Linked DNA regions of Astyanax mexicanus. The protein of the gene in region 1 interacts with the protein of each later gene in a biochemical or structural test. Links are inferred from orthologs where the notes say so. Each region holds a gene or a part of one and is shown on either strand. Other genes may lie near its edges.

Region 1 (11,084 bases):
AGCTACAGTGAGGTAGAGCATGGTAGAGTGAGGCGGAGTGAGATACAGTGAAGTAGAGTGAGATATGGTGAGGTAGAGCATGGTAGAGTGAGGCAGAGTGAGATACAGTGAAGTAGAGTGAGATATGGGAAGGTAGAGCATGGTAGAGTGAGGCAGAGTGAGATACAGTGAAGTAGAGTGAGATATGGGAAGGTAGAGCATGGTAGAGTGAGGCAGAGTGAGGTAGAGTGAGATACAGTGAGGTAGAGTGATGTAAAGAGAAATAGAGTTAGCTACAGTGAGGTAGAGCATGGTAGAGTGAGGCGGAGTGAGATACAGTGAAGTAGAGTGAGATATGGTGAGGTAGAGCATGGTAGAGTGAGGCAGAGTGAGATACAGTGAGGTAGAGTGATGTAAAGAGTGAGATATAGTGAGGTAGAGTGATGTAAAGAGTGAGATACAGTGAGGTAGAGTGAGATACAGTGAGGTAGTGATGTAAAGAGTGAGATACAGTGAGGTAGTGATGTAAAGAGTGAGATACAGTGAGGTAAAAAAGGCGTTTACCTCTGCGGCCTCCATCTCTCGGGTTCTGTCCTCCAACAAGTCATCAAACAGCTTATCAAATGCATTCTTCAGCTGTTAAAAAGAGGAAGCACTCCATTACACATTCATGAGTTTAGCCCCATCAATTAATCAGTCTACAGCTAGATAGATAGTTTATTGATTCCCAAGGGGAAATTCTAGAAATTCTAGCTGCTTAGCCCCGCCCATTCATGTTACCTCCTCCTGTGTTAAAATCACAGGGCAAATCTCTGAGGATGATCCAGCCCCTCCATAGCGATCCCAGGATGCCGCCGATGAGCTCCCTATAAAACACAGTTCCCATGAGTTTCCCCAAAGTATTGGATCACTTGCTTATTCATTGCTTCTTCAAAAAATTAATGTATTTAAAAAGATTTTAGTAGAAAATGAGAGTGAGCGTGTGAAATAGCTACAGCAGTCCGATTTTAAAACACCACAGACAGTTGTCTGCCCCACCCACCCTTCCCCAGACGCGAAGCTCACTCGGGTTGCCAAGTTGAGAAGGCTAAATCTACACAATCCAGCGCAAGACGAGTTCGATAATTTCTACCATGGCAAGCAAACGATGAGTCATACTTTGTAAGTTATTCAGCTAATGAATATGTTTGCGGTGTTTTTATTGTTTTATTGTTTGTTCATGTGAACTTTGTCCGTAGTTAGCTAACCTAGCTTTATGCACCGCTAGCTGCGTTAGCCTAAGGTTGACATAAGGCATGGTGCTAATAGGCTCATGTTTGTTTATCTGTGTGTGTGTGTGCATCTGCACATCTGTGCGTAAAATGGGTGCAACTTAATTATAGCTGAATGCAGCATTCATTAGAAGTCTAGAACAAACATTTAGACATATAGTGCAGCTTAAATATATTAATAGAGCCTACAGGTGGTAAATCCAGGTACGGAAGTTAAAAATCTGTCCCAGATGTTTTCCAGATTTCTATCTAATAGAGGAGCTGAGGTGGGCTGAGCTTACCTTTCACAGCGTTGAGTTTGTATCCGTGATTTTTCATCTGAGAGTGTACCGCCTCCTGGTTCTCCTCTCTACCCCAGAATGTTAGGGTTACAGTCATGGTGAATGAATTTGTCTTTCCATAAGGAACCACCCTGAGAAAACAACAGCAGAGCTGAGAACCACAGCTTTATGCCCTCATTATTAAACTGAACCTTAACTTCTCAACAAAAGCATGTGCAGCATGAATAAGCACTTTCTCTTCTCTCTTACTTTCTCTGTCTGTTAATTATTTTTATTTATTTTATTTTTATTTATTTATTTAGGCAAACAAAAAAGGCAACAGGTTGACTTGACGCACTTGTCAGTCAATGCAATCAAATACTCACAGATACTCTGTTTTACTAAAATCTAATAGAAAGCCTTCTCTGGACAGTAAAGACAGTTCCTCCAACAAAAGCAAGATAAACTCTTTTTAAACCCTTGATTTCACAAGAAACCGTGAATGAACACTTTTTTCAATACTTTTCCCCATATTTTGCAATGTGTTTAATCCCCACAAGGGGATGCTTTCTTGCTGAAGATGCTTATAAATGGGTCAGTACCGTGTAGCAGAATGGCAATGATCTAAACAATGTCCTACCCTTCCACTCGGGCCAGATTACGGTCCATTATGAAGGCCAGCGCCGCTGCCAGCTCCTTTTTTATGTGTCCCACCTGACTGCCATACACGTTAGCCACCATCACCGCGTTCCGATCGTACGGGTTCTGCGGTTGCCTCACCAGAGCCACCATCTCACCTCTATTCACCTGCAGAACAGAAGTTATGAATCAAGCATACCCACCTACTCTACAGAACTGGAGCTATAAATATAATATAGCTTACAAACAATAGCAGCTCATACCACAGTTAGCGCTGTAGCTAAAAATAAGCTAATATAGTAAATATTTTAGGCTATGGAAGCTAATGCGCCAACAATTAGCACTGGAGCTAACTGCATGTCCAAATAAAGAGATGTTCAGTAATCTCTAATAGACTTGATTATGTATCTATAAACATGGCTTTGCTAAACCAAAATAAATAATAACAATACAATTAACTTTAAAGTATTGCTTTGAAGTGAAACAATACAAAGTAATAATGATTAAAAAATATATATGTTAACTATTATTATTATTATTATTATTATTATTTGTTTATTATATATTTTTTTTTTATCAGTGTACGTATGATGGCTCATACCGTTCCGGTGTAGTACCTCAGACCCACTATGGTTCCCTGAAAGGTTCCAAAGCACCGGTTCTCCTCCTCCGCGTCCTGATCATGGGTGGACTCAGAGGTGGAGCTGCTCTGGGAGGGCTCCTCCTCCTGCAGATCAGAGTGAGACACACCCCCAAACCTCCTACTCCCCAAACCACGCATGCTGGAGCTGAGAACACAACACAGAACCCACACAAACAAAACATAAAGATGCTGACAATGCACAAAACCCACACTACTCAAGGTTTTAAAGAGTGCCATAGTGGCTGCCCTTCTTTGAGGAAAATAAAAAGTGATTCAGTGCTTGCTATGGTGCACCATGCAATATTATGCAATTATTATGATGTGCCTCTAGTTCAATAAATGGTAATAATGTGTTTTATGCCATCACTGTGTCACATACACATACCATTATTAAACTATTTGTCAACAACTATTTTGAACCCTGGCCAGCACAGAAACACACACACACACCCTATATGAATTTAGCGCACAACTGAAAAATTATTTATTCATTGCTGTTGCCAACTATTATTGTAGTAGTGCACAGATAGTTTATTAAAAACACTGTTTATACACACAGTGTAATCAGCTCTCCCTCCTGTCCGCCCCTAAACCCATACATCACCCAGTGCCCCTCCCAAACTACTCCTCCCATTTTTTGAGCCCTTTTATGGGAATTACATAGTAAACAAAAAGTATTTGTCCTCCACATTAATCCCCTGATCTAAACCTGATGAACTAAGATGAACTGAGATGGTGATTTGAGGTGATTTGGGATGAGCTGAAGCTTCACAGCATGAAGGAAAAGCAGAAACTATTGTTCAGCACATCCAGGAACTCCTTCCTTCAAGAAACTGAGAAAGCTATTCCAAGTGACTCTTTCTCATGAAGACACTGAGATTAAAATACTAAAAGTGTGCAGATCTGTCCTCAAAGATAAATGTGCAACTTATTTAGAAGAATCTAAAGTATAAAACATATTCTGTTTTGTTTAACAATTTTTTATTTACAGAAAAAGTCTGAATATTATCCAGTATAGCTTTAATATAGTCTTTAATTGTTAAATGTACAATGTAAAAAAAACAAAAAAAAACAAAAAGAAAACACATTAATTGAGAAGAGGTGTGTCAAAACTTTTGTAATACTGGTTCTGTATATGTACAGTATATATCGTTTTATTCTAATTTTATAGCTGGCAGTTTACAGTTGCAGTGTAAAAAAAAGACATTTAAATGATAATAATAGTTTATTAGCTAGATTAACGTTAATTGTGGGGAGCACCTTTCTCTTAACAACATTGACCTGCTGTTAGTGTAGTTTCAGAGCTCCAGCCATTTAAAACATTTAAATAAACTTTTATTCAATGTTAGAGTTTTAACAATAAGCGACTTTAATAACACTAATGTTAAATTATAAGTTATAAGTTAGTTTTTAAGTTTGTTTTTTCTTTGTCAACATAAAAAGATGTATGTTAAGTTAGCTAATGCGACCAAAACATTACCCTCACGTTTATTTAACGTTCTCTTGTGTCAGGATGCTACACTCACGCGCACGGGCGCTGTATTTACTAAGTAACTAGAACAGGTGTACGCGTGCCCGCGCACTCACCTGTCCGGCAGGTTTACCTGCAGCTCGGCCGGGTCGCTCCGGACTCCGATTACCGTTGGTTACTTCTGGTTCCTGTTGTCAGGTTTTTAGCGCGCGCGGAGTTGCTCTGCAGTTGATCTGCAGCGGGGCGCGCGCTGTGTGGTGGTGCGAGTGTGTGAGCGCGTGCAGCGCCCCCTGCTGGTCGGAGCGGCGGTGCATTTAGAGTGTGTTAGTGCACCAGAGGGCTCCCCCCTCACTGACTACAAAACGAATAGGTTTAAATGGGGCAATTAAAAAGCCAATAAACCCTAAACCATATTGTTTTCCATTAATAGTTGAAATGTGTTCATTTGAAAAAAAAATGAAACATACCAGTCCTGCTTAAAAAAAAATTAAAACATTTTCTTACCTTTAAACAACGCTTTTATTACGGTCATTTTCGCTTCTGAATCGCCCCCTCAGGTTCAACTGTGCTATAGGCGTGGATGATGATTCCATGTATTTTGGTATGCAGACACATCACAATAGGCAAATTAATGAATCAATATTACCGCCCCCCCTGCTGACGTCCAACCATCTGCGTCTCACCGCCATCAGAAGTGCAGCTCAGCAAATCAGCTCCTCCTCCTGCCCAGCCTCTAAACCCATACATCACCCAGTGCCTCTCCCAAACTTTGCCCATTTTTTGTCCTTTTTTAAATCAGAGGTTTAGTGCCCCTTTAAGTTTATGAATGTTTAATCCTTTTTACACTTAAAACTTTACTCATTTCCTTAACACAGAACAAGTAGGTTTTATCATTGTAGACATAATTTTAAAAGCTTTTAAACTCCAGTTATAAAACTTTTAAACTCACCAACCAGTCAGCAGATATATATAAAACACTAGAGACCCTGATTTAAATAAAAGTAAAATGAATTAAGCTGCACACTTAAGTGGGAGTACTAAAGTATTTAACATTTAACAAACCGTGTGCCAGTGTGCCAGTGTAGATCATCTTCTACTCTGGCTTCAGTGAAAATGTGGGTTTGGAATGATTCCTAACATTTTTATAATTGTAACGAGTAACAATGCAGCACTCAGTGGGCATCCTCTAGGGTTAATTTTAGTGGTCACTGTTTTTTTCTTCTAATTTTGTACTCTGTAATTTTGTTTTAAATAGGAAATCTCCACATTTCTGAATGTCTGTCTAAAATTCAGAATGTTTTATAGAGACAGTTGAAAATGTAGCACACAGGAACTGATGTAACTTTAATTTTAACTTTAACTTTTAATTTAATTTAATTTTCTTTAATTTAATCAAACACAAATATATAGAATATTATTTTATTATTGTTTTATTCTTAAAATAACAAACACACATACACTTTAGCAACAACCACCAGCAGGGGGCGCCCTCACCCCACTGCACACACACTGCCACCACCTGTGCTGGAGTTCTGAATGGGTTCTGGACCAGGAGGCGGAGTTTCTGATAGATCACCTGTTTATTCTGTACAATTAAGATTTCTCAATGACACTTAGTGGTTAATGATCATGAACAAGTAAACAAGGGTCACTGACGGGTCAGCGGAACAGTGGGTCAGGTGATTGAGATCTGAACACTTTTTTTACAGAGTTTCAAAAAAACTATTCAGAACAATTAATACAACTGAAATCAATAATCAATAAACAATCATCAAATAAAGTAATTAGGATTCATTTAAAATTGAATTACACAAAACACTAGATAAACACAATGGTACACAAACTACCACTAAACTACACCGACTACCCCCCCACCCCACCCCACACCCCCCCACACCCTCCATAAACCCTACTAGAGCTGGATCGGATTACCCTTAATCAGACATTTCATCCAGTATGAATCTGCTGTGTGCAATTATACTACTAACTGTAATGTAATTTTAATCCAGTATTTATTCTTTCGATTTTAATCCATTTAATCCTGCAGTGTGTAGTTATAATGCAAATAATAGTAATAATCATAAACTGACTTTAATCCAGTATGAATCTTTGGTGTGAATTTTTACTACTAACTGTAAACCAATTTCGATCCTTTATGAATCTGCAGTGCTTATTCTTTCAGTTATAAATGAAAACTCATTTTAATTCCATATGAATCTGCAGTGTGAAGTTTCAGTAAAATTCTAAACCAATTTTAATCCAGTATGAATCAGAAGTGTGTAGTTTCAGCAATACTTGTAAACTAATTTTAATTCAGTACGAATTCTGACAATAACTGTAATCTGTTATTAATCTAGTATGATTCAGCAGTGTGTAGTTTAAGTAATAACTGTAAACTGATTTAAATCTAGTATGAATATGTTGAGTGTAGTTTACCTGTTAAAAACAGATTTAATCCAGTATAAATCTGTAGTGTAGTTTAACTATGGAAAACTTATTTAATCCAGTATGAATCTGTAGTGTAGTTTAACTATGTAAAACTGATTCAATCCAGTATGAATCTGTAGTGTAGTTTAACTACGGAAAACTGATTTTATCCAGTATGAAGCTTCAGTGTGTAGTTTACCTATGACAAAAAAAATAATTCAGTATGAATCTGTAGTGTGCAGTTAACCAACAGAAAACTGATTTATTTAGTATAAATCTGTAGTGTAGTTTAACTATAGAAAATTAAATTAATCCAGTATGAATCTGTAGTGTGTAGTTTGTACAATCCGACACTAATAACCCGGTATGAATCTAATCCAGCTCTAATTGGGCTTTGGTCTTTAGTTTACAACTTGGCATTTAGACAAAGTGAAAATAAATAATTGAACTCAATTATTTAATTGGCGAATCGAGGATCTCCTCGTACTCCTGCCTCCGACTCTTCCCCACCCAGAACAGCTTCACTGCCGCCAGCGCAACAACGCTTATGATGATGACGAGGCCTCCGACCATGTCGTAGACGGACGGCACCATGTGCAGGACAAGCAGCTGCAGCAGAGCGGCCACCACAATCTCCAGGTGCTGGACGGTGCTGACCAGAGCAGGGTGCAGGCGGTTCAGGGCGTAGTACACCCCGAGGAACGCCACGGTGGAGCAGAGACAGATGCTGATGAGGTACGCCCAGGTCTCCCCATCCAGAGGGATGATGGGCTCCTGCAGGACGAACATGGTGCAGGCGCCCCACAGCGTCCCCGTCCAGCCGAAAGTGAACAGAGCCGTCCACATGCTCACCTTCTCCTTAATTGACCTGTAGACGATCATAGACAGAGCGGCGGTCAGGCCTGCCATGACCGTCATGGTGTACCCGAACGCCTCCTTCCAGAACCCGAGCGACCGGTCCTCGCTCACGATGTTGGGCACCATGACCAGGCAGAGTCCGAACACGCTGCTGACCACGGTGACCATGTCCACTGCACCCAGACGCTCATCCGTGAGCAGGAACGCTAGCACGGCACTGAACACCGTGGTGGTGGCACGCCACATGATGGTGCCGTTGCTCGGCGGTACGATGGCAAAGGAGGTGTAGGCGCAGGAAATGGAAATGACGTTACACACGCCGTAGAAGAAGAGCCGCACCCGGTAGCCACTGGGCCCGAACGGCTCCTCCTGGTGGTAGAAGACCACGGCGACGGACAGCACCTGCAGGACCGAGCGGATGAAGAGCAGCTCCAGCGAGGGAACCCTAGAGCGGTCAGCGGCCAGGCGGGTCAGCAGTGCCACGCAGCCGTGCGCCAACGCCGCCACGAACAGTGCCCCCCACGTTAGCCTCGAGGAGAACACACACGCCTCCCCGAAACTCTGCAGCTGACCTCCGACCCCACTGCTGACCTTCTGATCCCCACCGGGTTTGGGCTGACCGTCCACAGAGCCAAAAAACGTCCGGCCCAGTTTACTGTGGATAAAAGTAACAATAATAACTATATTAACAACAATAATAACAATAACCATAATAACAGTAATAATGACAGCAATAATAGTAATAATATTATTAGTAACAGCAGTAACAACAACGTTAATAGTAATTCTACTAATAGTAATAACAATAGTGATACAATAATACAAACTACAATAAAAGCAGTCCAATTTGCAATTTAACAATACATTAATGTATCCAAACTTATGATAACTATTAAGTTAACAATAAATTATATCATATATGTAAAATTAGCTCCACCCCTATAACCTATAACGGTTAAAAACTGTTGTACCTGTGTAGTTATCTGATAAAAGCAGTAGTTACTGACTATATTGGCAATAATAAAAGCTATGGTGTAAAACTGTGCTGTCGTGAACCAAAGAAACAGTGTTTCAGTTTACCACACAGTAATTAAACTCCACCCCAGTTTGTGGGCGTGGCGTGTACACACCTCTGAGGTCCAGTAGAGGTCAGCCTCTTCCGGTCGGAGGTCTCTTCTACAAAGGAGCCGAAATCTTCGAAGCTCGGGGCGTCATCGTATCCCTCTTCTCCAGGCTGCGGGAAGTGGGTGGCATATTTCACCGTCACCGTGTTGGGGTGGATCTTCACCTTCTTCTTCGGGCCGAGCAGGTGTTTACTCGGAGAGTCGTCCATGTCTCTTCCTCCGGCTCTGAGAGCTGAGAGAACACACAGAACCGAACAGAACCATCAGAACCTTATCACTGTCTATATATCTACAAGTATTCAGACATGTAGAAAGCACTAGAGGCTTTCTAGACTTGAGTAAAGTACTATATCAAAAAAGTGACTCTTTTAGTGTCCTATCCTATTAATATATCAATCTTATATCCTAATATATATATAAGTGCACCAGAGAAAAGGGCGTGTCTAAGACATACAGTTGCATTATGTCAGAAGAAAGTGTGCAGGGTAGGAGGCGTGGCCAAAGCAAATAGTTTTAGCATATTAAAATACGGTAGGCGTGATGGTGGGCGTGATTTAGGGAAATCAGCACCATATCACTATAAAGTGGGTGGGGAAAGAGGCTGGGATTTTCTCATATTGTCCATCATCTCAGAATAAAGCACTCAGAAAAGGGGGCGTGGCTAAGGTATAAAATTGCATTGTGTCAGAACAAAGTACCCCAAGTGAGAGGCGTGGCTAAAGCTAACAGTTGCATTATATTAGAATAAAGCATTTAAGGTGACAGGAGTGTCTAAGACAGACAGCCTTACTACATCACAATACAATACTCAGAGAAAGGGGCGTGACTATACTACATACCTACATTATATCAAAATTAAAAACACAGAGAAAGGGGTGTGGCTAAGGCATAAAGATATATCAGAATCAGAATAAAGTATGCAAGGTGAGAGGCGTGGCTAAGCCCGACAGCTGCATCATATCAGATTTAAGCACTCAGAGAAAGGGGCGTGACTATAGCACATACCTGCATTATATCAGAAATAAAAACACAGATAATGGGGCGTGGCTAAGACAGACAGCTGCATTACATCAGCATAAAGTATTTAGATAAAGAGGCGTGGCTAAGACAGATAGCCTCATTACATCAGAATACAGTACTCAGAGAAAGGGGCGTGACTGTAGCACATACCTACCTGTATTATATCAGAATTAAAAAATACAGACAAAGGGGCGTGGCTAAGACAGACAGCTGCATTATATCAGAATAAAGTACTCAACTAAAGGGGTGTTGATAATGCAGATAGCTGCATTATATCAAAATAATGTATCTATATAAAGAGGCGTGGCTAAGGCAGATAGTTACATCACGTCAGAACAAATTATGAGACGAGGGGCGGGGCTTACGCAGACATTTGATATTATGCAGATCTTTGACATCCTATCCTGTGGCCTGTAGTGAAGTTTGCAGGAAAAGGGGGAGGAGCTAATACCACTCCATTCATCATCTTCAGTGATTCATCCCGGGTGATTCACGGACGCCCGTGACGCCAAACACTGTGGCGTACGGCCACGTGACCACCACGTCTCTGAGCCGCGAGAACAGGTGAGGACACTCACGGCTGGCTGGTTGCCCCTCGCGATGGATGGAGCAGGTAGTGGGCACGCGCTGTTCTATAGCAGTATTAACAGTGATGACGTAGATATGCCCTTCAAAGAGCAGCTCTGCTGTCAATTAACGACTCGCGACTGTGATTTAATTAGTGGCTAATTGCCCATCAGGTGGATGAACCCGCCTTTGATCTGAGATAGAGTTGCTATGGCAACCGTAAACAGGTAAGTAAACAAGTAAACTAACGCTTAAACACGAAAAAGAAATGAAACAAAGCTGTAATTGTCGTATCCTTCTAGAATTGTTCGTTCCACCTTAAATGGTGCGGCAGTTACACTCTGGCGCCTCGACGCCAGAGTGTAACTGCAGCACCATTTAAGGTGGAACGGACAATTCCAAGCAAAAGCCAACTTAAGCCCAATAAAAGGTGGGCTCACGCTCACTCCCGCATACACTCTCCTCTCTCACCTGACACTCCGATCACTCCGGGCTCGCGCTGTGTCTCACTCTCCCATCTTCATTTCTTTGATGTCTCGGGTTATTAACACTCCCATCCTGATGCTGCTTCTGCTGCCGTACTGCACACACCACCACCCCAGCCCCTGATCACACCAGCAAATGAAGGAGTGAGCGAGAGTGAGAGAGAGAGGGGGGGCAGAAGATGCTCTGCGCATGTGCAGACGCGCAGACCCTCAGCCAGCTTCGCCCACTATTGATTACTGATAATGCTGATAGATAATCAATACTATCCGTCCAACCCCGTTATACAAAAAGTAGGTTTTTTAAAAATGTATGCATTGTTAGTTAGCAAGAGCACTATGG
Region 2 (11,315 bases), on another chromosome or scaffold:
AACTATGAGGTATATCTACTAAACATGTAGAGACCCCCTATGATATTGATTAGTGGGGTAGTGTACAAATGTGAAGATCTCTCAGTTTCAGCTGAATCAGCAGCTACAGACAACAGACCCTCTTTCAATGGTTTGTATTGATTAGGTCATGACCATTTACACTCTTCAGTATCCATCATTTCTCTTTACACTAATTTTTCACAGGCTGGACGGTGGTTTGGAAGCCAAGTGTGTTTTCCATGTGAGCAGATTTTCCATCTCCTCATGTCTCAGCTCCAGTGCAATCACCAGGTCAAATTACAATGGTTTTAGTGGTCTGGACACTTTTTAATAGGTAACATATGCTTTTGCTTTCCCACATATTATTTAAAGCAGCATTATAGGAAAAGTGGAATTGCTTGCTCCTGAGCTTCTCCTACAGTCAGGTAATTTTCACTGTGAGCCACCCCTAACGTTTCCTCTTTATTTACAGAACTGAACATGATTCTGTTCTGTTTTAATGAAATGAGAACATTTCAGTATAAACTTTATCAAACATTTTGCACAATATACTACATCTACTGGTGAGCGATTTGGCCCTAAAATAACATCACCATATTTTATGGTATTTTTGCGATAATGATATTCTTGGCAAAATGACAAAACAATAAAAAATAAAAATATAATTTAAGAATACACTACTGCAGCAAAATGAAAATAAAATGTATTATTGCAAAAATAACGCACTCCAAATATCTCCAAATATCTAGGACTAAAGTAAAATAAATGATACTGCACAGAAATAATCTAATAATGGGAACTGGGAACCGTGTGAATTTTTCTTTTGCTAAAAACAGCAAAAAATTAGTACCCTGGTGTGATAATTAGGGGTGGATGATATGGCATGATCAAAAAGTTTCAAAAAGTTTGGCGTACGATATGATATGGCACACCCCTAGCGTCGTCACATCTGGCTCTGAACAGTAACATTATCGTACGTCTGTCTGCACTGTTTAACAGAGCACTTGTCTTCCACATCTGCATTCAGATGGCGGACGAGTTTTAAAAAAAGCAGAATAAAATAATAACGGCTACTGAGCTTCAATCTGGAGGAGAAAAAAGGTATCATGTTCCTCACTCAGTCAAACATTTTGGTATATTAACATTAAACTACTTATCAACACACTCTGCTGACTGTCCTCACTGATAATAATCTGAATTAATGCTAAATAAATTAATGCTGATCTTGAGTTTAGTGTTTTTAATAACGGTTTTATTTTTTATTTAATTTTAAACTGAACCTGAGCAAACACTGGAAGCAGAGCTTTTCATCTGGAGATGAACAGTTTAATCCTGATGGAACATAAACTCTGGTGAGAGTTTAATTTAATTATCGGTTTATGTAGAAATGGGTAGTAGCCTCAGAGGTGTATTAGAACCGATTAACCCTGCTATTAATGCTTTAAAAGGTCTATTGCTTCATATAAACCCATATATTTTGAAAGCACTTTCTATTTGTGAGCACATTCTAGTATATAATAAACCTGGAACATATTTTTAAGTGGAAGTATTTTCAATTTTCTCTGGTAGTTCACTGTACTGCAACAAAACTGATAAAAGAGGCAGTGGTGTAAATTCTTTAAAATATCCACTATAAGTTTAGTCTTTGTCCTCTCCATAAGGCAGTGGTTGGGTTTCACTTAAAACTGTTGGTTATGATTTCCAGTACTGTCTGTTTCCATAAACTTTTAAAAGACAGACGCTCTGTCTTTATTTGTATGCATATTTAATGCTGAGTATAAATAAGCCTTAAAGGGCAAGCAGTACACAGGCTTTTTACAACCTGACAGATACAGAAACTTACTAAAACTCACTAAAAATAAAAGAAGAAACATGTGAACTAATGTAAAAGAGTAACATTTCTGGATTTTCACCTTAATAAAGTTATGATTTTTATTTCCTATTTATTTCTGCTATTTTAAAGTGAAATGCTATGGCAAAATTATTTTCAGTAACTTACCCATTTAGTTGAATGGAGAAGAAGCTGAAACACAGTCCAGTAGAATGTCTTTGTTGTCTATATCTGCAGCTGAAAGAAAAATGTAGTTACATAATGGCACAGACACCACGACTGCACACTCAACAAAGGATTATTCAAGTGTTCAGAAAAAAAGAACCATTTAAAAATTGTGCCCATTTTTCATAACTCGGATCAATAGCAGTACTTAGGTCAGCGCAACTTCCCTCCACAAAAAAAGTGCGGCTCTGGATTTATGAATAAGGCTGATGAATATGCAAATTGATTTAATTACATTCTTCATAAGCTTTATGGACACTTCTTTATTCGTGGGCACCGTGGGAGCTGCTGCATGAAGGAGATATAGTGACAAAGCTTTGCAGATTTAATGCAGCTTTGCTTTGAGACGAAGGTTATCCAGCGGTCCGTTTTTGACTGATCACCTTGTCCGTATTAAAATGCATCCTGCCTTGTTCAGTGGCTAAAGGCTATTAAAATAAACACTCGACTGGAGGTCTGTTCCACTGACTGATTATATGTACACAGAGTGATCTGTAGTCAGGTCCACTCATTCAAATGCACAGCTGTCAGCTGACTGCAGTCTCACCGGGAAAACAAAATGAACAGAACTGATTTCTTTATGTGATATTTAGCCCGAATCTCACCTCCTGTAAATGTGCACAGAAGCACAGATATATAAATATATATTTGTTTCTTAGATCAGCACATGCACGGAGCAGAGTATGTTCGTTCAAAGGCAGGCAGGGATTTTTAAATCAATTTCACGGATGTTTAAGAAAGAACGCCGCGCGTTCTGCCTTGTTGGCGGTGTGGGAATTGGGGAATGTGAGACTGAATCGTATTCACTGAGCTGTGTTTTAATCACCGAAGCTGTTTAGCCCACATAATCCTTCCAATAGCAGAGACAGTCTTTTTAACTGCTTAAATAACCATATCAATGCAGGACTACTGAAAAAAAAGATCATTATGAGAGACTTATAGAGTTGTGAATGGAAAATTCTATTTCCACATTCATAATGAATACAGCAACTGTCCCATTCATCCCGCAAGTAAAAGAGCAAAACAAAAATTGAGCCACTGCTTGCTGGGGTCCATGCAGCAAATATGGTACATAAACACTTAAAAGTTCACTTTTAAAGTACACTTTATTTCAGGTGAGGCAATGGTTCAATATAGAAGCTAAAATGGTTCTTTAGCTGGTTAAATGGTTCTTCATAAATATGATGAAAACCTTTAGTAGATTAATTATAAATAATATCCTATACACTTTCTATTAAATAGACCACAGAATACACTTAAGATTTTTTTTTATTTGATTTAGTAAAGGTAAGCGATGCTCAGATATGATTTTACAAACCTTTTTACAACCCCATTATTGTGTCTTAGAATGAAACAGTGATTTGCTTTGTGTATTGTTTCCTATTGTTAATGGTGGAATGAAGGGGGGTTTAAAAAAATCACATTCTGAATCTGAACATTTAAGAGTCATTTGAGATCACTGGTTCATTAGTGTAAATTCACAGTAGCATCTTAAATAATCTTAAATAATTTTGGAATTAAAAGGATTCTGTGATGTTCATATAAAATTCATATAAAAAAATAATAATAGGCCATCGAAATCTGAGGCTGGACATCTGAGGCAGTGCCAAATATGGGCATTAGCAGCATGGCACTGGCTACAAAATAATGATACAACTTCAGTGGTCTATGGGTATATAAACACAAAACTAGTTTTTGATTATTCTTATTGCCTGTTTAACATTACTCCAATAGATTACAGCAACCATGTAACATTGCATTACCTAGCATAGCATAGCATACTGTACACAGTCTTCCATTCTAGGGCACCTTTAAACACCAAAACAGCTCCACTAGTGTCACAACTGAAAAAAAAGACCCTTTCAGTACAATACAGATACTCTTTTGCTTGGGAAAATAGGACTACCAAGAAACTGGATGTCTCCACTTGTTCAGAACAAAACAAATCGATGATCATGACAATAAAATTGCCTTCTTTCTGTATTACACTTCCTGTTTATTTAAACTGTATCTAAAAGCTCTGCTTCTCTTTGAGTGTGTTGACAAGTCTTTGCACGAGTTCCTGGTCTGTTATTATCTTGGTTGGCTCACCCTCCTCTCTTTTATCCATGCGTTACATGCAAAATCAGTATCTATTGTTTAACGGATCATTTCTCTTCAATGCCTCGGTTGATTTCTTCCACTCAAAGTCTGTCTAAAACCCCCTTTTTTCTCCAAACAATTTAAAGTCCAGCCCATTTAATTGGAATCACTATTCAAGCGATGTGTCCTGTGTGTTGCACAGTGTACAATGTATACTAATATTTACCAGCATAGAGAGTGTTACAGTGCTTTTAAAGAATAGCTATTATTAAAAGTTTGCCTGCAAGGTCTGTTTGTACAGACAGATATCTAGGCAATCTTAAGAAATCCCTCTGAATCAGTTCAATTCAAGCAGAAGTACAAGTATACAGCAGCCAAGGTCCAGTCTCTGATGTAATGAGTCAAGTAGAGGTTTATAGGCCACCCAAATAATTATTATATCATCATATTAATGCTAGAATAAGTTATAAAACAGTGCCATTATGCTTTAATAATGCTGCAGTTCAGACCTGAAGGCACACAACCTCAATGTCAAACTTTCTTTGGACAATCAAACCAACTTGTGTTGGTGTGAAGGGGACAAATAAACTCATTAACAAATATCACATTTTTACCAGTATAGTGAATGTTTGGTTTTCCATGCTAGTGGTGCAAATGACAGTATTTTAGTAGTTTTTAGAACAGCTGAGAGGATACACTCAAATTTCTGCATAAAAAAAAATAACATTTATTAACAAATAGTATTAAATACTTTGTTACCTAACTTGCATTGGAAATTTGGTTATCTACACTTTACTAGAGTAATTATTTTCATTTCAGACACCTTGATAAGTAAGTTATTATTTTATACATACATACATACATCAGTGGCGTGCAGTGAATATAGTGGGTACCCCTTCTGCAACCACTCCCCATACCCTCCACCCCGCCGCCGGCCGACCGACACATAGATAAATATTACAATAACTTCATATTCTCTCTCTTGGCTTAGCTATATTAACTTAATACATATCATCAGCCCACAAATACAGCTAGAATTGACAAAAGTGTACAACAGACCCAACAATAAATGCTTAATTTGCCTACAAGTACAACCGTTCAACAAAGATCACTCATTTGTATGTCTACAGTACGCCAGGGCAGCCAAAACATTAGGTACACACAAAAACTCACCAGTCTGGCCTATTATTGTGAATTAGTTTCACATTGAAGGGCAACCAAGGCTTTTTAATATGATGTGACACAATATCTGTCTCTTTGCAGCCGCAATTCCATGATAGTTCGCTAAGCCATTTTAAAAAGCTTTGATTGGTTAGAACAGCTGTCAGTCCTGTAGCAACTAAAAAAAAACAGACTAATTATTTGAATTAGTTGCTGCTTTTTTATTTTAGTTAATTTATAAAATAAATTCTTACACTTACAATAGCTAAGATATATATTTCCTGATTAAAAATGATGTAAAACAGATTATAAGCACAACTACAACATACCTGCACATACACACAGACAATCCCTTTGGTGATTATTATGCTTAGGAAACTGCATATGCTTCTCTAAGAGTAAAAAACACAAGAAAACATGGGACATTATTGATACATTTTCAGGCTCACACTACAACCTGAAGATTACAATTGGCGCCAAAACTGCTGCAGCCCAACGCTGGAAACCGAACCGGGCCAGAAATAATTCTATACGCACCAATATCCGCTAAAAATACACAGAGGGGTGACTAAAACTGATATGAAAACAATTATTTCAATTAGCTTGTCAAAAAAGTACATTAATCCTTTTACAACGCTGCTTATTCAGGAAGCTTCACTGCTCTGCTTACCTCCCGCATTTTACGCACCTATACACCACTGGAGCTACGAGTGCTGCAGAGGGACAAATACAAAAGTAAGTGCGGTTGCATTGTTGCATTAAACATACAAAACTACGAAATACATTTTTAAAGCCCATTTATGAACCTTCAACACAACAGTTCTATTTGTTTTGTCCGATTTTAAGCTATTTTTAACTGTAAGAATTTATTACGCAAAGAATATTATTTTATATAATGATTGTCACGTTTCTGTAGTCTTTTTAAATCCTACTAAAATAATACAAAAAAAAAGAAAAAAAAAAGTGGTGGGATTCAAATCAAATTGAAAAGCTTCAAAGTACAAATCAATCACTGCTAGGCTGTATATGTTTATATATGTATGCTTTATGCATTTATTGTCTAGCTAAAATTCCTTTACACTAGAGCCAGTGCAGCAGAATTGGCCCATATCAGACTCACTGCCCGAACCGACTCTAATGAATCAAAGTTGAACCCGACGTATGGTTAAATGAATCGGTTCGCTGAACTGAATCAATGCGAGAGCCGAGTTTGAATCTTCTGCCTCAAAGCATGAATGGAAGTGACGTCGGAGTAGGATGTGCCGGTAAAAGTGCGCGCGGGTTTTTTCTCTGGCCGTGCAGCTCAGCTGTTAGCAGCAGGACTGTGTTTACCTTCAGGAAAGAGCTCAGAAAAACCGACTGATTCATTTTCGCTCGGTTAATCATGTCTAACTCAAATGAGGCGGATTTACCGCCGAACCTGGCGTGCCTGAAAGTAAGTTCTGCTAATAAACGCTTTGATAAGTCACTTATTTTGGCTGTGAAGCCCGCATTAGGTTAGCTGGCTAACGTTAGCTAAGTTAAACTGACAGTGGGATTGTCAGTAAGTTTAGCTACATATAGTGCTGAATTCAGGCTGTGTGATCTGTGTGACCATAGCTGAATTAACTATAAAGACCAGTGGCCAGTGGGATTTATACTTTTGCCAGTATTGAAGACTAGTTAGCTAGCTAGTAAGCTGGGGGTTTATCTGGTTAGCTAGCTAGGTTAGTTGGGTCGGATCTTACGCTGCCCTTTGTTAGCTCCTGTGTGTATCGTTTGTTTATCGTAAGGTTAGCGTTACCTGTCACTTGCCTGATGCTCTGAAGAGACATTTGGCATTAACTTAGCTGCTAATTAGTTAGTTAGCTAGGTTAGCTAATTACGTAGGCTTACTGACACTGCGTCTCGCTAAAGACTCACTAAATCAAAAAACGTTTAAAAATCTACTCTTATTATTTGGCTTTTGAGTGTGATCACGAATAAGGTGGCTTTAGTATTCTGTTTGGATGTGTTGTATTTCCTCTATTAGCATAATGCAGAAAAATGATAAATCCTGCAATTTACATATGGGGTTACACACACGCATACATACACTCTCCCCTATACTCTACTTTTTTCACTAACCCACTATTACCTACGACACTAGTACGGTAACCTCCTTCACTTAACAACAAGGTTGATGTGGTCATTTATGTGTTTATGATCCAATCAGTAGGGGTGGGCGATATGGCTCTAAAATAATATCACAATATTTCATGGTATTTTCACAATATCGATACATTTGGCGATATGACAAAACACTGAATTAGAAAAATTATTTAGAATTTTATTTTTGCATGCAATATGATATGGCTAACTGAGAAAAAGAAAAAAGAATTTTATCAGATTTGTAACAGAAGTCAATGATGCAGAATGTCATGATACTAGTGATGCACTCCTAATATCTCCATATATCCAGGATTAAAGTAAGATAAATGATACTGAAAAGATATAATCTGTCTCTAGTAGATATATAATGGGAAATGAGAACAGTGTGAATTTTTCGTTTGCTAAAAACTACAAAAAAAGTAGTTCTCTGATGTGATAATTAGGGGTGGGTGATATGGCGCGATATTTCAGGGGATAATATCGTTCACGGTATTCAAAATTTTTGGCGCAATTATCACGCACGCTACGATATGGCACACCCCTACCAATCAGCAACAATTATTCCAACCCTGAAGGCCAGACCCCTAACAGGTTGCTGAGGCTATTTATGTTTAGATCAGCAACATTTAACCCAAACCTGAAGAACAGACACCAAACAGCTAGTTTGCTGTGGTCATTTTTGAGTTTATGATCCAATCAGCAACATTTAAACCAAACCTGAAGACAAGACACCGAACAACTAGCTTGATGTGGCTGTTTAGGCTTTGATTGGCAACGTTTTACTCAAATACGAAGATCTGACACGTAACAGCTAGGTTACTGTGGCTGTTTATGATTCGATCAGCAACATTTAATCCAAACCTGAAGATCAGACACCGAACTGCTAACTTAGGTTACTGTGGCTGTTTATGATCCGATCAGCAACATTTAATCCAAACCTGAAGATCAGACACCGAACAGCTAGATTGCTGTGGCCGTTTATGATCAGATCAGCAACATTTAACCCAAACCTGAAGACCGGACACCTAACCGTTAGTTTGCTGTTGCCGTTTACAATCAGATCAGCAACATTTAATCCAAACCTGAAGTCCAGACACCGAACAGCTAGGTTGCTGTGGCTGATTATTTGATCAGCAACATATGACACAAACATGAAATACCTAACCATCCCATCACAAATCACAAAAACACTCATCATCCACTATGCCACAAGCCCTTTATAGGGGTCATCAAGTAGGCACCTCTCTTTATCAGCATTGAGTTTTGGCATCCCAGACTCGCTCCACTCCAAGCTCGCTACAAATAGGACATAACGAGATTTTAAACACAACCTTTACTATTTTGTTTGGACGTGTTGTATTTCATTAGATTTTAATTTTTTATTTTTGGTTTAAATTGCTTTATTGTAAGGCACTATGTGGCTCTGTCTTATAAAAGTGCTTTATAAATAAATTATATTTACCTAGCTCAATGACTTACAGTGATTATATGTAAGCTACCTAGCGTTAACTCGTTTTCATTATTTGCTTTGACAGCCTATAGACACCCTTCTTCGATGTCCCATTTGCTTTGACTTCTTGAACATATCCATGATGTCGCAGTGTTCACATAACTGTAAGTATTTTTTGTTGTTTTTGGTAATATGTATGTTGTATTAAGAGAAGTAACAGTTAACTATGTTTGGAAAAAAAAAAAAACTTTTTATTACGGTACCTAATAAGCTCTTCAGCATTGTCACTGTCATGTGTGCTTTTGCATTCATTCGCCTCATATTATCTTATTGTCACAAAATATGTAGCTAATTAACATCAAAACACATGAGTAAATAATGGATGTTTGTGTTGGGTCTCTTTGCAGTTTGTTCGCTGTGTATACGGAAGTTTTTATCTTACAAATTATTGTGTCCAGTCTGCAACACAGTAAGTCTAACGTTTATTGTGCGTTTTACATCATTGGCTAATGCACGTGTTGTTTGGTAATACACTCATCACTAACTTTAAATATAATGGCAATATTGAACTGTAAGATTTTTTTTTTTAAGTGTGCACTAAAGCTCTACAGGAACACACATGGGATTTTTTTTTGTATACAGAAAGTGTTAAACACACCAGAATATGTTTTAAAATGTAGATTCTTCTAAGTACCACATTTAGCTTTGAGGACAGATTTGCTTACATGAGGGGGGGTCACCTGGAATAGTTTTCTCAGCCTCTTGAAGGAGTTTCTAAAGGTGCTGAACAAAAGTTGCTGCTTTCCTTTACGCTGTGACGCTCCACCCAATCCCAAATCACCCAGGTTCAGGTCAGGGGATTGGGGAGGACAAACACTTATGTTTCCTACATAATTCCATTTGTTTCCCTTAATTGACCTCATTGAAGCTGGCCCCCATATCATCAGAAACAAATTATTTTTTTTCCCATTTGTGCTGGTTTGTGCAGCAAAAATTAGCGTTTGTACTGTAATTAGGTAAAATTATTTAGCACCTGGTTCCGGACCATCTGAACAAATTTCCTCTCTGCTGATGATGATTGTTTGGATCATTTTTTGCTATACTTTTTCATGTAGATAAAATGATAACTAACAGAAATTTAATTGACAATTGAATTTGTGTTTAATTGTGTATGTATGTTTTTTTTATTCTGATTATTTTAAAGATGTATATTGTGCATTAGTTCAGAAATCCTAATATTGTATGACATTCATGTTGATAATGAGTGTATGTAAACTTCTGACCAAACTATATATTGTAAAATATGGATTTTATAATGATGCAATGACATCTACTCTCATTTCAGCCAATGACAGAGCAAGATCTGAGGAATAATCGGATTTTGGATGAAGTTGTCCAAAGTTTTCTGTCTGCAAGGTAACTATGATATTTGTAATAGAAAGAAACAGTAGATATGTAACTTTAGTTGTCATTATGTGAAGAAGTAAAGTCTCAAAAAAGTGTCAGTTCTTGCTTTATAATTTAAATGTGACTATATTAAAAATCTGTGATAAAGTCAGTTGTAAAGTAGTTATTGTATTTAATTAACAATTAAACAATTTAAAATGCTTTTCTTTGCTATTTGGGATATCTTTGTTAGTTTTAATAAATGACTCAGCAATATGTAGTTGAGTGGTTTACTGTAGAGCAGAGGTTACGGAACCATATCCAGAAAGGTCCCTTTTCGTGTCATTCTTTTTAGTAGCCTCGAGATGTTTCAGTGGAGACAGGCTGTTATAAGCAAGCATGATAGATTGATCTGCCAATAAATCCAAAAGGAGACAAAGGTTGTAAAACAAAGGTTATTCTGAGTTTGTGCCGATTGACATAAGCCTTTCAGGAGTCAAAGCAATTTATAGGATCATAGTTTAAATGAAATATTTTATTGAATCCTTTCCTTTTATTTGCTCGATCATGAGTGGCTTAACATTTTCTTCCAGTTGACCTAATATTTTTGTCTGCCATAGAATTGGGAATTTCCTTGTATAAAACACGGGGATTTGGTTTTCATTAAGTGCATCTGTTTCAGTCGTTTTCTTCACCTGCTTCAAGTGTGGTCACAAAGCTTTTAGACATGCTTCATTTCCAGCTTTGCAGAGTCTTACACTGAGACTAAAATTAAGCTCTGTCACAAACCTGTGGATTCACCTTTGTAATAAGAGGACTGTATCATAGATGTCTGGTTATGAAAGGTAATCTAGAAAGCAGAGTCTGCTGAGTAAAAATACCCAGAGTTCTTGGAAAAGGCTATAAAAGGTCCAGATTGTGTGTGATTGGAGAGATCAGTAGCTTTTAATCCACAGCATCATTAGTTTTTGAGTCAGTGTCACTGGCGGTCATCAATCTTCTCAGTGTATTGTCTGGTGGCTGAGGGCATAATTTAGTGGATAGTGGAAT
Region 3 (11,207 bases), on another chromosome or scaffold:
AAAAATTATGTATTTACTGTTAATTTTAATTTCTGAACAAAATTGAAACTGTAACGTGTTCAACTCCTCTGCCACCACTAGGTGACAGTATAATGGCCTCATATGTGGACACCAGGCCCTTGTAGAGCAAAATTTAGTGTTGTGTGGTCTAGACAACCCAAAATGTGTTGTCCACACATGTGGACGCCAGGTCCTAGGAGGTTAAAAATACCAAGAAGTCAAGCAACAAGAAAAAAAAAAAGAAACATAGTAAAGAAGAAAAATATACGCATTAAGATGATTATTATTCATAATTGTTTTATAATCGCATCGCAGACTCTGAATCTGAATTCCCACCCCTGATAAACACTGGAAATTAAGTTGAACTTTTATTTACTGAATTAAAACGTTGCCTGTTCTGTGTTTTAGGGAATCCTGCTGCAGTTATTCGGCGGCACGCGGAAAGACTTCAGCCAGACGGGTCGAGGAAACTTCAGGGCCGAGGTGAACATCCTGCTGTGCGGAGACCCCGGAACCAGTAAGTCCCAGCTGCTCCAGTACGTGTTTAACCTGGTGCCGCGAGGACAGTACACTTCTGGTAAAGGCTCCAGCGCCGTGGGTCTCACCGCCTACGTGATGAAGGACCCCGAGACTCGGCAGCTGGTGCTGCAGACCGGCGCTCTGGTTCTCAGCGACAACGGAATCTGCTGCATCGACGAGTTCGACAAGATGAGCGACAGCACCCGGTCTGTACTGCACGAGGTCATGGAGCAGCAGACCCTCTCCATCGCCAAGGCAAGACCCCCGTTCCTCAGATCCTGTAGCTCTTTAGGATTATTCGGCGTTCTTTATCGCTCGAGAGCAGGGGGGTTCAACTGGTCCATATAGCTACGTTCACATTACCAGGCTGAAGTGATTTTAGCTTAATATGGCTTTTTTTTTTTTTTTTTTTTTTTTCACTTTTATATCGTTGCTGTCCAATAAAAAAACACTTTGCCAAAACAGCAACTTTACAAGAGAGAGAAAAAACTTGTAAAATTTCAATGGAAGTCAATATAAAAAGAGTTTATTTCAGGTAGAGAAATTGATTGTACTGTTAGTCACATGTTAAATTGTGCTTTATTTAATGTGGTTTAGGCTGGGATCATTTGTCAGCTGAATGCACGGACCTCTATTCTAGCAGCAGCCAATCCGGTGGAGTCTCAGTGGAACCCGAAGAAAACTACAATTGAGAATATTCAGCTCCCCCACACACTGCTCTCCAGGTAATACAGTAGTTTGTTTTGAAGATTGGATTGAGGAATTATACATGAAAAATGTCTTTTATTTTTTTTTTTTTTTTATAATATACTGCTTGCGCATTTTTTAAACTCTGCTATGGATGCACCTTGTTCTGCACATTTTAGAGGACTCCCTACTTTAATACACCTCTTGTAATTCTGAATGGGCATGATTATAATCTGATTAGTTAAATCAGTTGTGTTGGGAGCAGGACAACATCTTTGACTACATTTATATGACAAGCCTTATGGCTCAATTTGATTTGATTCTATTGACAGTAGTGGCATTGTGTATAAAATCTGATGTCTTAATCTAATATATATTTAGTACATGAATTATAAAATGTACTATTTTCTATACTTTTAACTAATTGCATGTCATTTACTTAATGCATAAAAAAAAAACTTGATAAACATTTACCAATACCTCTGTTTCTCTCGTTCAGGTTTGATCTGATCTTCCTGATGCTGGACCCTCAGGACGAGGCGTATGACCGGCGGCTCGCCCACCACCTGGTTGCGCTGTACTACCAGAGCGAGGAGCAGATAGTGGAGGAGTATCTGGACATGGCTGTTCTGAAGGACTACATCGCCTATGCTCGTACCTACATCAACCCAAGACTCAGTGAAGAAGCAAGTCAAGCACTTATTGAGGTATGAACCAAACGAGTCAGCAGTAAATAAAGTCTCCTTTCCTGTTCCTACAGCTAATTTTGAACCGTTTGTTCAGGCCCGTTACAACAAGGCAAGCAAACCAATCACTAATCAAACCAACTAGTTGCTGACAGTAGCAGCCAGCCGGGTTAGTCATTCCTGCAGCCGGCAAAATATGAACATCAGCAATCTCTTCTAAATGCCTTGAAACGTTTTTTAACGTTTTTTTAATATTCTTATTGTCCTAATGAAATAACATCTGATAAAACTTTTTGACAAAAAAAAAAACTCCATCGTACTTTTTATTGTACTTTTACAATTTATATGTAGGCACAAAAATGTGCTGCACTTTAATAGACGTTTTTGGTTTTTATACATTTTACAAGTCTTAAGTTTCTTTTTAAGAAACATTTTAAGTTACATTTGTTGCATACATACACTTTTGAAATGTATTTAAAATTTATTAAATGTGTTGTCATATCACCAAAATATTGTTATTGCAAAAACACTCAAACATCATATATTATTTTAGGGGCATATCACTCAGCCCTACTCAGGATGCACATGGTGTAGGAGAGGTCGCTTAGATGTTTTGGATGCACTACTTTTTGGAATAATTATAGGCTCAGTATAGATACCCAATATGCCATGAAAGCTTAGAATCTCTGCTTTTTAGATATTTAGCCAATTTAGCTGTATTGCCTTTTGGAAAATAAATATATTGGGTAAAAAAATACCTTTTTAGCTAAAGTTTTATTAAAAATTACATTCATAATTGGCATTTGTATGTCCATATTTTATCCAGTGTGGGCATGTTATACATCATTCAAACCGTCTGGTTCTCAGAATTACGAAATTAAATTTAATTGGAGCCAAAAGTGAGAGTTATTTAAAACATGGGAGTTAAGAGGTTAATGCCTGTAACTGTGTTTCCTGCAGGCGTACGTGGACATGAGGAAGATCGGCAGTGGAAGAGGCATGGTGTCTGCTTACCCTCGACAGCTGGAGTCCTTGATCCGTCTGGCTGAAGCCCACGCTAAAGTCCGCTTCTCAGACAAAGTGGAGACCATCGACGTGGAGGAGGCCAAGAGACTCCACAGAGAGGCCCTGAAGCAGTCCGCCACTGATCCCAGAACAGGCTTCGTGGATATTTCCATCCTCACCACAGGTATGTGGTTTTACACTGAGATACAGTGGGAAACTCATGATCTGCACAGTTAATCAGAACATGCTGAGCAATAACAGGGTAAAATAACGAGCAGAGCAGCCCCGATGCAACAAGGCAAGCAAACAAATCAATTGCCTGTAGGGCCCTCAGAAACACTTATCAGAATCCCCCTCAAGGGGGCTCCCAGTAGTTGCTGACAGTAACCAGCCAGCCAGGTTCGTTATTCCTGCAGCCGGCAAAATATGAACCTTCAGCAGTCGTGAAGCAGAGTTATCCATTAGGCAACCATCAGGAAACCGTTTCTCAGGGGGACGTATGTTAAATATTTCACTCTTCTAGTCGGTGATAAAACTCCTGCATCTGGACTGCAATTGAAAAAACAGGAGAATCAGTGAGTTTTTAGGCTTCAATTTTTCAGTTCAGTTCAGTAGCTCCTCCATTTCCACTTGCTGTTGTGTTTTATAACGTGGATCTCCATGGAAACCGTGGCGCACCCAAAGTGTAATTACAGTGCACAGCAGTGGACAAATATCTATTTTATTAAAGGCGAGGAGACGAAACTCAGAGATGTGCGTCCGGACGGGACTAAAATTACCGGAGGAGCACGGAGTTCAGACAAAAACAGTAGATAATTCAGCCTGTAATTTACTCAGAGGACGTCTGAGAAAAACACCTACATGATCGTTCTGGACAGGAATAAAATCACAGAGGATAAAAAAAAAAAAACATAGAGAAAATAACCCAGAACCCCTTGAGAAAGTAATCCCATCCAGATAGGTCTTAGCTGAGAGTTTTCTGTATTAGAATGCTGTTTCGTTAATGTTTTTGTGCATTTCTGTTTTTGTACGTAGGTATGAGCGCCACCGCAAGAAAGCGTAAAGAGGAAGTGGCGCAAGCCCTGAAGAAACTCATCCAGTCGAAGGGCAAGACTCCAGCCATGAAGTACCAGCAGCTGTTCGATGACCTACGTGGCCAATCAGAGGCTGTAAGCATATTCTGCTGTTTTTAATTTCATTATTTCTAAATATTTAACTTAGGATAACTCTAATCTTTACGTGCAGAATGTCAAAATTCTCATGATGAATGACTACAGACTTAGTAAAAAAAAACGTGTTGCACCAGTGTGGTGATGAATACTGATTGATTTCTCTCCAGGCCATCACCAAGGACATGTTTGATGAAGCACTCCGAGCGCTCGCTGATGAGGACTACCTAACAGTCACAGGAAAGACTGTGCGTCTGCTGTAAATATACCCAGAAGTTGGATTAATTAAAGATCTTTACGAACTCTATTGTCTTGAAAACTGATGTATTTTTTTTGTCTTCCTGTTGTGCATTTAATTGTTGATTTTGTATGAAGTCATGTTACTGTTTGCAATAAAAAATGTTGTATTTGCTGTTCATAGCCTTTCGCCTTGTGCGTTCCGTTCCAAAATTAGACAAAGCTAAAGAGGGTTATAGGAGAATTTCTTACTTTTTGTTTTTCTTTTCTCCTTGTATATTTATATTTTTTGTGCAATGTGCAGTTTACACTTTTTCTATAGGCTTGAGTTTAAAAAATGTAAAAAAATATCCTCTGTACCTTTTAAGAGGTTACTGTTAGCAAATGAAGCAGATAGAAGATAGTCTTTGTAAATGAGTATTAGTTTTAATTCTATCTACATTTTTAAAAAATCATTCCATTCTTAAACACTTAGAGAACAGAAGCAATGGAAAAGTTTGCTTTGTAATTGCAGAAAATAGCATTATGCTATTCACATTTTATTGTGCAAATTATAATGTTTGCTTCAGTATATAATGAAAGGTGTGAGCATAAATGTATAGAGGTGATGTGCTGCATATAGAAGGCTAGTACGGTGTTAAAAAGCCAGGAGTTTATTTATGTTGCACCTTTCAAACACAACGATCATTCAAATTGCTTTACAAATTAGAAAATAGTCAAATTTAAAATGATCTAACAAGAATAGAAATAAAAAAGCATAAATAAAACATGATTCAAACATTATTAATGCAATGTATTTAAAATATGTTTTAATTAAAAATACATTTTTTAAAAAGTTCTGTTAAGGGATAGAAAAAGATCCTCTGGTCTGAATAGAGCAAAAGGGTTTTTTGTGAAACTCAACCTTTTAATAGTATGATTTACTCAGTCTTATTAAGGTAAAGTGTTATGTGCTTTGTTTGATTATCTATATATTTACATAACTGTAAAAACTGATGTTTGCAGATAAGGGAACATACTAATACCACACAGTCTCTGTTTTCCCACATCTTTTTATGTTCCATTAAATGAATTAAAACTCATTTGATTCATAAACCAGCACAACTTATTTCACAATAATAAAGCCCTTGATAAGTCTGTTATTAAATATAATGATCTTAAGTATTAAGATCCTCACAATTTACAAATTTACACACATTCATTGGATATAAGTATTTTGTTGTGCTGAAATATTGAAAGAAAAATACTACAGTAGAGTACAGTAGTTAGGTTAAAAAAATACTCCAGTAGATACAGATACAGCATTTTGGCATTAAGCTCAGTAGTACAGAACTTTCTAGTACTATATAGTACTTGTACTATGCATACTTAAGTACAGTAGTGCATATACAGTATTTTGGTATTTAAGTAGAGTAGTACAGGTAAAGTATTTTTGCACTGAAGCTCAGGAGAATATGACTATATAGTACTTATAGTATACTATACTATATATACTTAAGTACAGTCAGGGCCGGTTCTAGAGGGAGGCTGAGGGGGGCGTTGCCTCCCCAGATTTTTTTTATTTGTTTTACTTTTTTCTTTTGAACAATCAACTTTTCTTCATATTTTAATTTAATGATCATATTTGTATTCTCGCTTATTCCTAATTCCACTTTTGAATATTATATTCTCAGCCTTTGTCTAGATACTTTTTTGTGTAATTCTAATTTAACCAAGATGGGTTATTGAAATTAATCACAATTTGAAAATCTTTATTAATTTACATAAGCAGAGTATACGCCTCAAAAAATGATATATGATAGAAAATGACATCTATTGTATCTGTATAACGTCACCTGTAAAACAGCTGGGGGGGGGGTTACCTTGTGCTGTTGCGGGACTGCGCGCGCTCCTCAGTGCAGTGGTGGTGACGTTTTGGTCAAGTGATATGACGTCACGATATCGTGCGCTTCTGGATTTGGCTGGAGAAGATGGCGGCCTCCTCAGGTTTGTCTCACAATATGGGAAACAGGCGCGGGGGTTTGGATGGGTTTGCGGCGGGGCTGCGCTGGGGTAAACGAGGGGAATGTTCTGTACGTGCCCCGGTGTGCTGGGCGCTCCCGGGGCGGCCGGGTTCCCGCTGTTCCTGCTGCTGTACCCGGGTCTCTGAGCGGTGTGGCTCCGGCTGTCTGATACAGTTATCGGAGTGAATGGGAGCGGGGCTGGGAGCTCCGCTCCGGCCGCGGTACGGTTAGCTAGCGTTAGCTGGGCTGATTTTTCGGGGTGTTTTAACCGGCGGTGTCTCTTATCTCTCTTTATCTAGTTTGTGTATGTGTTAAATAATATTCGATAAATATAAAATCAATAAAAACACGCAGGAGAATCAGAGTGCGTAGGGTTTCAGCACGCGGCCCGGACTGCGGTGCTAAACACCGCGCTAAAAACAAGCTATAGAGGCTAGCTAAAGACCTGAGGTAACTTTAGCTTAGCTTAGCCTGCTAGCTGAAATAACGCACATAGCTTAGCTAACAGCTAGCTTAGCTCTGTGTGTTGGGCTGGTAGCAGTCAACACTGTAGGCTAACTACGCTAGCTAGCTAACCACTTAACGTTAACTGAGTAACTGACTGACTGACTTTCTAAACTAACGCGGTGTTTTAGTTTTCTCGATATATTTTATTACGGTATAATGTTACAGCGCTAATGTTTTCTGGCTCTTCATTTCACCCCGCGCCTCTGCAGCCCCGACAAACCGGAGAAGCAGGTTAAACAGTGGGGCTAACTTTAGCTAGCGTTAACTCCTGACTGGGGAATTCTCGTTAGCCTGATGGCTAATCAGCTAACCTGTGAGGAAATTTGAGGGCCAGAATAGATTAATAGGATAAAAATCCGCGCAATATAAAATAGTTCCATTTTCCGGAGCAACACACGTTTTATTTTTGTTATAGCTAGGTTAGTTAAGTAAATAGAAAAACAATAACTTACCTCAATACCTGCTGCACTCAACATGCGAGTAATACAACGTATAGTTAATATATAATGTTTTTTTAAGTACAAAACATTTATAATAAATTATACTAGCGCATCTCAAACAATAAGACTATTATTGTAAAGTTAATTTATTTCTGTAATTCAGTTTAAAATGTCTCTCTTATATTGTATAGGCGTATTACATGAAGACCCCAAAATCTGTCTCAGAAAATTAGAATATTATATAAGATAAATTGGTACTTTTGGCAGTATGGGCAGTGTGCCAAGTCCTGCTGGAAAATGAAATCCGCATCTCTTTAAAAGTTGTCAGCAGAGGGAAGCATTTAGTGCTGTAAGATTTTGTGGGGAGGGGAAACAAAACTGCACTGACTTGATAATAAAACACAGTGGACCAACACCAGCTGATGACATGGCTCTCCATGTTTTGTTAAACTTGCCCTATAATTTATTAAGAATGTAATCATGATAAGAATAAAGACGTTAATTACATGTTCCATGAACTGCAGTAAAGATGCATGGTGCAAAAAAAGTTTAAGTTTCAGCATTGTTGGAACATGGTTCCAGTGTTTGACAGCGCACTAGGCATTAGTTTGCAGCTCACTCAGAAAGGCTGGGAAGGGCACTTTCCATTCAAACTGACTGTTTTAACAGATACTAAAACCAGAGCGATTGCATTCCAGACATGTTTTAAAATGAGTAATCTGATCTAAGATTTAAGCTATACCAAGCATTCACTAGAAGGTTTTAAAAGTCTTGACATATGCATAGTGAGTCTGCTATTTAATGAATCGGCTCTTTGACACTATTTTTAGTTACTAAAGAAATCTAGGATTAATTTTTTTAATGCTAAAACCAGCTACAAGGAAACAAACAGATACAAAAAAGGTGATTTATAATGTTGTGGCTGACCAGGACCAGTGTAATATATTTACAAAGCTTGTGTTATTGTTGTAGCTGATCCGTGTTTAATGCGTATAAATAAAGTATGTAATGTATTGTAATGTATCAGGGAAGTGATACTTTTTAATTGAGAATATTGTTTTGAGTTAATTGGGAGATTTAATGGAGGAAATAAACTAAAGACAGTGTATGTGCAAGAGAGAGTCTTCAGAACAGCGATGCTGTTTCGACAGTTTGGAGAAAAATGAAGCGTGGAGGAAAGTAGGGGATGGCTCCATATGTAGCTTTATCATTGTGGATAAACAACGCGACAGCTCAAACACCCACGATCAACAAACAAATGTGGGACAGAACGAGGGAAATGCGAGATCATACGATATATTCACTTTAGAACATGGTAAAAACGTGCACCTGTTTTTCAGAATGCGTACATGTTGGCAGGTCTGAATCAATTTTTAGAATTTGTGAATCGATTCAGAATCGACCATGTCTGAATCGAGATAAATCCAAGAATCAACAATTCCTCCCACCCCTAGTCATTACTCTGCAATCTGCCAGTCATCATCTGCACACAGTCATCAGCAACCAGAGGAGTCTGTTCAGTGTCCGACTTCTCCTTCACAAATGCAGAAACAACAGATTTAAAAACTCCTTTCTCCCTCAAACCATCAGACTGTACAAGGAGGGTTGACAGAGGATGGGATGGAGCAGTAGAGTGAAAATAAAATAAACCAGATTATGTGCAACAGTATTAAACAATGCAATAATTACATGCAATACCTCATCTGCTGGATTTTCTTTTAGGCTTTTAATGTTGCTCCTTTTTATATTTATTTATTTTCTCCCCTCTATTATTTGGAACCCTCCCAAAGAGCTCTATCTCTCTGTCCTGTCCATACATCTCTGTCAAGCTCCTAGTGTTTGAGGCATTACTATTGATTAGTGTGGTCCAGATGAGTTGGAGTAATTGACCTATGATTTCTGTTATTCTCCTGCAGCTTTATACAGTTAATCTCACCAGTTCAGCAGGTATTTTATTTAATTTTACAAACATGGCAAAGACTAAAATGCTCCTACTCATGAGTATGAGTATACAAAAGATTTGCACCACATGTAAGGTATTTGCAAAAACATGTGCCACACGCTTAAACACATCAGGTCTTCTCTTAAGCTTGTAGTTCTTCGCTAGTTTTGTGGATCTTGTCTGCTTTTGCAATATTTAGCTATTCATCCTGATTCAGAAACTATAGTGAATTAGTTGGTAACTGGTTTGGTTAGTACATCTTGTGGAGTCCCACAGGGTTCTACAGTAAGTAACACTAAATACAGTAAAATATTATGATATAAAAACTATAATATGTACTTAATATTTTAGTTCATACAGCAGATTATTTGCCATACAACTGTGCGGCGCTTCATGTACCACAGTTTGAGAACCATTTCTATAGGATACTGACTTATTGCATAAATTTGCAACGATTTCAGCAACATACAACTTTTCCACCAGTACAGAGGATTCACTGCCCATTATAAACATCTTTAATATTCAGTTAATTATATGGATAATTATCAGTGTTATTGCAGTGTTTGTTGCTTGTTTTTATTGTATAGGAGTTAAAGTTCCACGCAATTTTCGTTTGTTGGAGGAGCTGGAAGAGGGACAGAAGGGTGTTGGTGATGGCACAGTAAGCTGGGGTCTGGAAGATGATGAGGACATGACTTTAACACGGTGGACAGGAATGATCATTGGACCTGCGCGAGTAAGACTTGACTTTGTAAACTTGAGAAAATTGTCCATTTGAGTTTTTATTAATCAATGCACTAAAGTTATTTGCTTTAATTCTGTGATTATGGACCAGAAAAACACCATTAGCAATGTTTTGCTATGTTAAGATTATCACAATCTCTATTGCACAATTATCAATGGTTTTCCATGCTTTAAATTGTTTTCATGTTTGTTTTTCAGACTAATTATGAAAACAGGATATACAGCCTGAAAGTGGAGTGTGGACCTAAATATCCTGAATTACCACCAACTGTTAGATTTGTAACAAAAATTAGCATGAATGGAATAAATAATTCCAATGGGATGGTGAGTACTCTTCAGATTATATTTACAGCTCTGGAAAAAAATGAGAACACTTAATTATGAATTTCTTTCATTTTACCCAATTGAAAACCTATAATTAAGAGAAAGATGGATGATCACAAGCCATCAAACCACCAAACTGAACTGCTTGAATATTTGCAAAAAGATGCAGAGCTTTCAGACCTCAAATAATGCAAAGAAAACAAGTTAATATTCATGAAGTTTTAAGAGTCAGAAATCAATATTTGGGGGAATAATCCTGGTTTTTAATCACAGTTTTTTTTATGCATCTTGGCATCATGTTCTCCTCCACCAGTCTTACACACTGCTTTTGGATAACTCTTGGATAACGTTTTGAATTTGATGAATCAAAGAAACTCGTCATTTTTAAGTGAGCTATAGATGTGAATAACTGCAATGTGTGTAATTAATGTGGTTTACACATAATTTACCAAGAGTTTTCCCAAAGATCATTCTCTGTATTAATTCAGTTATTATGAATGAAGTTTTACCCATTTAAAAAATACGTTCAGTGCAAACTAAAATGTAACTGCAGCTTTGGAGAGAGAGAGAGAGCACAGAAACTCTTCCCACCTTCACCATAAATAATTCATAAAGGTTTTTTGAGTCCAGAAAATCTTCCTCCAGGGACTGTTGTGGCAGACTTCTAGAAGGCATGCTTGCAAGTTTGCAACAGATGTAGTGATTTCTACATTCTTGGTTTAATCAATAGCTTAATAATAAAAAAAAACTGGATTTTGCATTACTTTTGCATTCAAAGGCTTTTAGTGTTTTTTTTTTTTTTTTGTTGACAGAATGCAACGTGTCTCAATTTCTCAATTTATTCTTTTCTCCTTCTGTTTCAGGTGGATGCACGTAGCATACCAATTCTAACAAAATGGCAAAATTCTTATAGCATTAAAGTCGTTCTTCAAGAGCTAAGGCGT

The links.
Region 2: the proteins of hltf (region 1) and rad18 form a complex in vitro, tested with the Homo sapiens proteins (2 studies listed by BioGRID). The link is inferred for Astyanax mexicanus from reciprocal best matches to the Homo sapiens genes HLTF and RAD18.
Region 3: the proteins of hltf (region 1) and ube2v2 form a complex in vitro, tested with the Homo sapiens proteins (2 studies listed by BioGRID). The link is inferred for Astyanax mexicanus from reciprocal best matches to the Homo sapiens genes HLTF and UBE2V2.

What each region holds. Positions count from the first base shown.
Region 1 is NC_064425.1:42,844,018-42,855,101, forward strand, and holds the start of hltf (helicase-like transcription factor), read right to left. Parts: upstream 4,512-11,084; 5' UTR 4,380-4,511; intron 2,938-4,379; 5' UTR 2,931-2,937; coding exon 2,751-2,930; intron 2,318-2,750; coding exon 2,151-2,317; intron 1,663-2,150; coding exon 1,532-1,662; intron 846-1,531; coding exon 760-845; intron 616-759; coding exon 544-615; intron 1-543. Other genes in the region: slc35g2a (solute carrier family 35 member G2a), read right to left, coding at 7,144-8,203, 8,679-8,881. UniProt on the Homo sapiens protein: Has both helicase and E3 ubiquitin ligase activities. Possesses intrinsic ATP-dependent nucleosome-remodeling activity; This activity may be required for transcriptional activation or repression of specific target promoters.
Region 2 is NC_064412.1:15,607,418-15,618,732, reverse strand, and holds the start of rad18 (E3 ubiquitin-protein ligase RAD18), read left to right. Parts: upstream 1-6,553; 5' UTR 6,554-6,683; coding exon 6,684-6,734; intron 6,735-8,964; coding exon 8,965-9,043; intron 9,044-9,286; coding exon 9,287-9,348; intron 9,349-10,224; coding exon 10,225-10,295; intron 10,296-11,315. UniProt on the Homo sapiens protein: E3 ubiquitin-protein ligase involved in postreplication repair of UV-damaged DNA. Postreplication repair functions in gap-filling of a daughter strand on replication of damaged DNA.
Region 3 is NC_064413.1:397,196-408,402, reverse strand, and holds the start of ube2v2 (ubiquitin-conjugating enzyme E2 variant 2), read left to right. Parts: upstream 1-6,141; 5' UTR 6,142-6,273; coding exon 6,274-6,289; intron 6,290-9,782; coding exon 9,783-9,931; intron 9,932-10,137; coding exon 10,138-10,263; intron 10,264-11,126; coding exon 11,127-11,207. Other genes in the region: DNA replication licensing factor MCM4, read left to right, coding at 409-774, 1,117-1,244, 1,706-1,913, 2,853-3,081, 3,933-4,066, 4,237-4,329. UniProt on the Homo sapiens protein: Has no ubiquitin ligase activity on its own. The UBE2V2/UBE2N heterodimer catalyzes the synthesis of non-canonical poly-ubiquitin chains that are linked through 'Lys-63'. This type of poly-ubiquitination does not lead to protein degradation by the proteasome.